Drosophila melanogaster: one gene and its partner. The protein of the gene in region 1 interacts with the protein of each later gene in a pairwise test. Each region holds a gene or a part of one and is shown in the gene's direction. Other genes may lie near its edges.

The links.
Region 2: the proteins of CG12426 (region 1) and Slob interact in a two-hybrid assay, tested with the Drosophila melanogaster proteins (one large-scale study listed by BioGRID).

The regions. Positions count from the first base shown.
Region 1 is NT_033777.3:27,870,795-27,874,104, reverse strand, and holds CG12426 (uncharacterized protein), read left to right. Parts: upstream 1-1,714; 5' UTR 1,715-1,761; coding exon 1,762-1,812; intron 1,813-1,875; coding exon 1,876-2,055; intron 2,056-2,168; coding exon 2,169-2,362; intron 2,363-2,427; coding exon 2,428-2,494; 3' UTR 2,495-2,604; downstream 2,605-3,310.
Region 2 is NT_033779.5:7,671,896-7,676,772, reverse strand, and holds the start of Slob (slowpoke binding protein), read left to right. Parts: upstream 1-1,694; 5' UTR 1,695-2,334; intron 2,335-4,877. UniProt on the Drosophila melanogaster protein: Regulator of calcium-activated channel Slo. Increases or decreases the voltage sensitivity of Slo, depending on the absence or presence of 14-3-3-zeta in the complex, respectively.

The DNA.
Region 1 (3,310 bases):
AGGCACTGAAAGTTATGCCCCCAACTTATTGCCGCTTTCCGCATTGCTTTTGTTTCGCCATCGAGCCTTGTGTTTGTAGTTCGGTTGGGTTTCTTACGGCTTACGGCTTGTCAGTGGCTCAGTGGCTCGGTGGCTCAGTGGCTCAGTGGAGCACTGCTGGGAATCATTTCGTTTGGCCCTGCTCCTGCTGCTGCAGTTTTCTTGCGCGAGCCGGAAGGAAATGAGCAAAAATGACAAAGTTAACGGATGTGCACAAAACACAACGCACTCCGACTCACACACACACACACACATCCATACGCTCACTCATTGCCACACCGCCCACCAATATACCGTCCTTCCTATTTCGTCCTTTTCCTTCGTCCTTTCCTCCGGCGCTTGTCCTGCTTTGGGCCTGCCCAATGCACTTGCACAGGATCAGGATATGTGTGCGGAAAGTACGACAATTTTACATGCATTTGATTTATGTTTCGCCAGCTCTCTGACTCTTGCAACTTTTGCCATGCCACACCGCCCTTGTCATTGGTCCAACTCCCCTGTTGCAAAAGGCCCCCCTTTCCACCGCCCCACAAGTAAGCAAATCATAGCCTACATTTCCGCTGTTGTTTATTCGAGAACATTTCTCTTTCTCCTGCTCCTTTGGCCGCTTTGGGGAGTTCACTTCACTTCGCATCGCATCTCTGTCTCTATCTCGAGTCGAAAGTTTTTTGTCTTTGCAACATTTTTCCATAAATTTCACCGAAAAGGCGAAACGTTGTCATGTTTGGCTAATATGCAATTGTCGCAACAAAGCTGCCAAAATTTATGCCACTCGGGAGAGTTGTCCTCCCATCCAGCGATTGACTTGCTAAAGTATCGATCACTTTTTCACCCTAAGAAATTAAGAGTTTTTTGCTCAATCAAAATGCTTAAACAAACCTAGTTTGGTTTATATGGAAAAGGGGCGGCGGGACAATTGGGGCTGAGCACCTTTTGAAAAGCGAACAAATTAAATTATATTATATTTGCCGCCCCCTTTTTTCCGCTTGTTTTGTGTTCGGTTTGCTTTCGTTTGTTTTTGTCCCCTTTTGTTGGTTCACGTTTTGAAATTTTCATTTATCAACGGTATTTCCATTGCTCGATCCCAGTCGGCGTTCCGAAACGAAAGCCTGGAGTGGGTCGACGACGCTAGCCGGTTATGGGACTACTCTTGGCCACTTGGGCACTTGGGCCCGAGTTCCATGGGTCCGGCTCGGATCGGGTCCGGTCAGGTACTTCGCTAAATGTTTTGCCACTGAAAAATGTGGCTTTAAATTGCATGAAATCATCGCCACATTCCACAAGTAATGAAATTAGTGCAAACAAAGCAACAAATGCGTGGCAGCGGGGCAACGACTCGGGCACTCAACAAGCGCTATCGAGGCCAATTAGATTAGCTGGGCCAAAACGAAATGAAAAACGCAAAAAATAAGAGGAGCAAGAGAAAACAATAAAATTTTGCTACGAGTGAAGCAATTCCACAAGTTGGCATCTTGAATAAAGCATTTACAGTAAAACAGTGTGCCCAAAGCTACATAAGATTGTAATTTGGGGATACTGGTCACACTATGTTATTGGGGTATCTTAATATCTTGTAATTTGATGCTACAGTTCACCTACTTTTAAAATGTAGCCAATTCAAAGTCCAATCGAAGTAAGGAAAAACGGTTTCCTTTTTTCCTTCATTAGATGGCAGATTTGCTTTTACTGTCAATGCTTTGAACAAAATTTCTGGTTACCATTATGAGCTTCCCCTTTCGTTTGGTGAACTTTGTGCTGCAGTTGCTAACGGCGGTGACTATAACTGCAATCTTGCAGTGCAATGGGCGTGGTAACGTATCTGCCTTTGTCCATCAGGTCCTGGAGGTTGTGGCCCTGGGTCTGCTCATCCGAATCCTATCCACGCACTGTGTCCTGGGCGAGGAGTACGGCATATCGGTGTGGATGTACACGTTCATCCTACCCGCCATCGCCTGTCAGAGCGTGGTTCTCGTCATATTCCGGCTATGCTGCACCACCGTGGGCCTCGATCCAATTGTGCGTACACATACATTTGTTGGGCTGGGCGGGGCGTTGCTGGGCTGGGTTGGGTTGTTCTGGTTTCGATAGTTATTTGGCGATGATGAATGCTCAACGAGTGTGTTTTACAGGCGATGACGTTTAATTTCGCCAGCGGCTTCCTGTGCCTAGGAAGCGCACTTGCCCTCCTGGTGTCCATGGTCGATCATTGCGGCAACGAGTTCGCATACATATTCTATATGTCGAGCGCCTTTGGCGTAATCGCTGGGGTCCTGCATTTGCTGAATGCCTGCGTGTGCAACGTTTACATTCCCAGCGGCGAATGGTATTTATTGATTAATGGCATGCCGGACTTCGTCGATTGGCTCAATACTTGTCCTGAACCCGCAGGTCTTACATGAAACCTTCGAAGAGGGCAAGGAAAAAGGAGTTGAAAAATCCTAGACGCAGAAGCTAGTGATGCGTACTGGATGTTTGTACATATCTTAAGGATATCATTTATTGGTTGTATTACTGTTTTTTTTTTTTTTACTTAGCTATCCTATATTAAATTTATAGTTGTTTCTTACACACTCAGTACTTAACGAAAATTGTAATAACATGCGATTGTTTGCTTTAATTGACAACTGGCTGTCAGTTGGCATTAACTCAAATCGACTTTTATTCCTCCTCCAACGACTGCGACTGCCAGACAGTAAAAAGGAAAAACAGTTTAGTCGTTCAAGCGCCGAATTTCCCCCAGACAAACCCCACCCCCTACCAAGAAATTCAACAGGACTCTTTGTGTCGATTGTTTGTTTGTTATTGTTATTTGTTATCGTTTCGCTGGGCGGTCGCTCTTGGCCCTTTCGTCTGGCCAGCGGTCATAATCAATAGAATTTGGCGACCTTTGCGTGTTAATGGCTTAAATGTTTAGGCCAGTGTCGACAGCATTCACAATGCCATGAGAAACTGTTTGATTGGTATTCGGAATTGTAATGAGGGTTGTTGCTTTGGGCGACTTTCTGCTGCTCAGCCAGAAATCAATAAATTGGTCTCAAAGCGCGCAAAGTCCTTTTGAGGAGCTCGATAATGGTTGCACTCGCATAATGAAGAGGATGGATATCTATATGTAGTGAATGTAGCAGGGGACTCACACTTCAATCAATGCCGAGCGACAAACATGAAATTTTTTACTCGCTATGCGCATATTCATAAGCATAAGAGATTTACGTGTTGCAATGGCAATCAAATGGAGAGACAGCCACGCCCCCTCTTCCGCCCTCTTTTGGCC
Region 2 (4,877 bases), on another chromosome or scaffold:
AAATGATTTGCAGTGTATTCTTAGCATATGTATAAAAATTTATCAAGATAAATAAAATGGATGTTAAATTACTACATTTTAGTAAATTTACTTTTCTTTTTAATACTCCTAAGGGAGCAACTATACAATTTTGTCATAAAATGTTCGAAGCAGTCTAAAATTAATATAAATATTGTAGTTAAATTTTTCTCTCTGTATGGAAAAATTAAAAAAGGGCCGAAGATCGGCGGATAAAAGCAAAGAAAGAGCCCAAGGTGGCTTTGCACTGAGAATAAAATGATTTGCAGTGTATTCTTAGCATATGTATAAAAATTTATCAAGATAAATAAAATGGATGTTAAATTACTACATTTTAGTAAATTTACTTTTCTTTTTAATACTCCTAAGGGAGCAACTATACAATTTTGTCATAAAATGTTCGAAGCAGTCTAAAATTAATATAAATATTGTAGTTACATTTTTCTCTCTGTATGGAAAAATTAAAAAAGGGCCGAAGATGACAGCAAAGACTTTTCACTTTCCTCTGACGTTTCGCGGATCGCTGGTGGCGCATAAAAATTCAATTAAAGACGGCGGCGGCTGGCCAAAGGACGTGAACACAAGGCGAGTGTGCCGTCATAAATTCCATGCCGATAACGCGGCGTATGCGCAATGTCGAGCAATTTGTTCTGAGTTGCCAGTTGCGAGGTGAACCCCAAGCAATCATCGTCAGGCGAGCAATTTACAATGTTTGCCGTGTTCCTCAGATAGCAGCATCGCATCCACCGCTGCATTCGCTCGCTGACACTGATAATTCAGTTGGCGATGTAACACCTCCACCACCCACCACTGCCCCCAAGACAATCAACCACCCAGCCACCCACTCTCGAACAAATTGTTGACCTATATTTGGGCATCAATGAAACGCGAGCAGATGTGGCGAACAGTTGGCGAAGGGGGAAACAACAACTGCACCGCGTTTTCAATGCTGTTGAGTAAGTTGAGTAAAAGCTTCTGGTAGCCGCTTTGCTGGAGAAAAGCTGTGTAGCAATCACTCTTTCCTCATCGGTGCTTTGTCAAAGCTTTGCGACTGGAATGAAAAGCTCCCACACTCTCCCAAACAAATTAGTTACTTTTTCCAAAGATAAGGATATTCGCGGCTATAAATTTGTTAACAACGATTTTCACATGCGTGAGTTGTTTCAATTAAAGCAAAATTAATAAAGAAAAGTTAAAACGGAAAAAGAGTTAAGCCCTAAAATGTTGTTCTTTAATATAAGACAGAAACTGAATTATTCTGTTTTTGCCTGCTTTAATAAGTCCTATTGAATTTCTACATCACTTACCATATCATTTTTAAATTTCAATGAAATATTAAAAACTACAACATACATATACGGGTAATAAGAATGGGCCACTTAAACAGCTGACTTCCATGAAACCGTTATCCAGAAGATACTATCAGATACTGGCGACCGTCGAAGCTCCTGCTCCTGGAAGGGGTAATCAGCTGGACAAATCCAGAGAGAGCGAGAACGGAACAAGTGACAGTGGAACAGGCAAATCAACCGAAAAGGGAAAAGGGTGTCAATGGAAGACCACAAATGGAACTTTTTGGACACTTTCTCTCTGTCTCTCGGTTTTCCACTCTCTTTTAGGAGGAAATAAAGGCGGCAAGCGGCTGGCAGCTTTTCAATCCAGTTCGAGTCAGCCAGCGGAGTGGACGTCTCTATTTCTCAGTGTAATTCCCAACCGATTCTCTGCCGCGTCGCGAATAAAACGGTAGTTTTAAATTAAAATTTTAACAAATTTACACTTAATTTAGAAAACTAAGTCAGATTATTGAATACACAAAATTTGATGATGTATATTGACTATTCGCACACGACCGTCATTGCGAATGCCATCAATTATTTAAGGCATTTATTTTGATTCAGTTTCCTTGTGCTTTTGTTTGCTGGTTGTCCCACAAAAACAGAAATTGTTTGCCCTCCAGGAGCAACAAAAACAACTGTGAGCGGAGAGTGCAGAGAGCCGATGGACACCGAAAAATCCGAATAGGAAACATACCGAAGTCCAAAAGCACCGAGCACCAAACACACGGAAATTCAGTCGCGTAAGGGCATCGCATCAGTCCACACCGCATCGGATCTTCGAGATACATTCGCATCTGTAAGATACAACCGCATTTTTGGGATACTCTCGCGAGTGAAAATTTTTTCGGCAATAAGTCAATTAAAAACCCGAATCTCAAACCATCAATAAATCAGATAATCAAATACCGGAAAATAGGCAAGCAGGAAAGAGGAACTCTAAATCAAGCTCAAAGCTCTTCTCACCTTTTCCTGGTTACAGGTGAGTTCAGTGGCTGACACTTGGGGGAGGTGGTGGCCTTTTATGACCTATTTGAAATCTGAAGGGCTGTAAATGCAATTATTCGCCAGCCACAATGCGTATCTATGCGTTTGTTAAAGTAATTTAGAAGTAATTGAGAATTCTGTGGAATCTAATACATTTTGACTTAATGAGATAATGGGTAACTGGATGCCGAATTGGCTAACTGGAATTCTATATCCGTATAAAGACCGGTTTCCAGCATAAAGCAGGATTCATTAACCCCTTAGAAGGTCAAATACTTTTTCTTAAAACTCTCCACAACTTTATTTCAATTCCGAATGCAATTTGCTAGCGAGTCTGTGCGTTTCTCGTTTTGTACAGCTGCATGGACGTCATGGGGGGATTATGGAAGCATATTACGCATACGCCCCATCCGCCAAAAGCAAGTGCAATTGGAGATGATGATTGTCAACGTTCAATGGAGCATCCATTGCCATTTCTTTTTCCAGTTCCCCATGCGGTAATTGCAGCGCCAACTGCACGAACTATTCCTAATGAGACAGTTAAATCGCAATCGTAAAGCTAGAGTCCCGTACTCATTTATCCATCTGCGTCTACCCCTTCTCAGATTTTGGTGAAGAGAACCCTTGAGGAACGCGCTCGGTTTCCTTTGAATGCCGCTGCGTTTCTTTCTCAATCTCAATTGGAATGCATTGTGCCCAAGGACATCTGCAGAAGCAAAGGAGCAGAAAAATGGTCTTCTAGGTGGTTCGAAGGGAGGCCTTTTGCTTTAGCGGTACATTACTCAGTTTACTGCCGGATTATAGCCTTAAGCCGTTCGGAAGTTTCTCAAGGGGTTGGGATACTAAACGAGCAGACAGCTAATGTCCGTCCCTCCACATTTTACGAGAGAAAAAGCGGAGACAGAGCAGTAGGATTTCCCAAAATAGACAATTTTCTTTTTTTTTTTTTGACTCTCTCTCACTGGAGAGTAGGGAACCCAAACGGAATCAGTGAAAGTGGCATCGACAAATTCGATTTGGTTACTGCCTGGTAATAGACCCTAGGAATATTTATTGGAATGCAATAACCACTTTTTCTGGATATTTTAAAATGTTGGGATAAAAATAGCTAATTATATCCAATCCATAAAAAAAAAATCAAAAGTTAATGAATATTACTTTCAACATAAAGATACCCAAGTGAAAAGATTTCTTTCTTCTCTGGCAATTGTTGTCCCGTGTTAATCTAATAGAAAACGATTTGTTTTGTTGACATTTTTCTTTTAACGTTTCCCCAATTTTATTGTGTTTGTGCAAACATTTTTATTTGATTCCGACTTTTGCTTCTTCTTGTCTCCGTTTTTCCATTTTCAGTGATTTGATTTTCATGTTAACTTAGATCACTCGACTGAATCGATTTTCCTGCGGGCGGAGATAACATTTAAGTGCGCCCAAGTGTCGCCTACAATATTTCCGAAATTTATGCTAATTATGCAAACGCCTCTGTACAAACAGCAAACGCTGCGTATGCGTAATACTTTTGGCCATATTTTGCTTTGTTTTGACAAAGACAACAAAGGTCATGGGATGTGAGGGTACCAGGCGTCGAGATTTCTTGGCGGTGATTCTAAAAATAGACAATTGAGTGAATCATGGATTCACTAAAGAAAAAAGTATTTTGTTAGGACTCACATGAGTTGCTGGATAAAGTCTTGATTCGAAAGGGCTTGATTTGACAGGGCAGTCATTACTCAGGACAGACAATAAACCATCTAAACCCCTCTCTTCGTTGAACACCCTCTGAATTTCTAGAGAACGTTTTCGTATCGACGAAATCTTATATATCTTCGCTGATTTATGCGTTCTATTCCAGCGAAAATGTTTATTCTGAGCCCTTTTTTGGAGTGCCAGAGAATTAGTTCATCCTGCCATGTTGGCCACGCCCCATCGCTCACCCCGCCCCTTTGACCAGGATTTGTTTTGTGTGTTGCTTTCAATTTGTTTGTTTATTTCACTTTTCGAAAAAGGTCAAAGTTAGCCACATTTTGTTTCGCATTCGCTTTGGGCCTTCACCCATATGTGTTTGTGTGGCTCAGAGGGGCGTTTTGGGTGGGCGTGGCTTTTGAAATTTCGTTTATGTGCTTTTCTGACATTCATTAAAAGTCCAGCGAGCGACGAAAACTTTGAAGAGATTATCGACTAGGGCAGTCATAATATTTATGGGCTCGCGGGAAAGGTCAGGGATTGACCTTTACCTACCCCAAAAAAGTACTTTCATTGTTGTCCCAATTTAACAAACGACACTAACACTTGATCTGCGATAAGAAAATTGAAATCAAAGGCAACCCCACAAAGGAAAACCTGGGGGAAATATTCTGGTAGACGGGGTTTGACATTTTACAAATGCCAGCAATAAAATTAACTTAAATAACGTTTATTCTGCGCATCGAGTTTCAACCAAGGCGGGGGTTCTTCAATTCAGAGTTGGTGGGGGCAAAAAGTCGAGGCAGCCTTATGATGTTAAATGACTTTGACAAGCAGCGTAAAATTGTGGGAGTA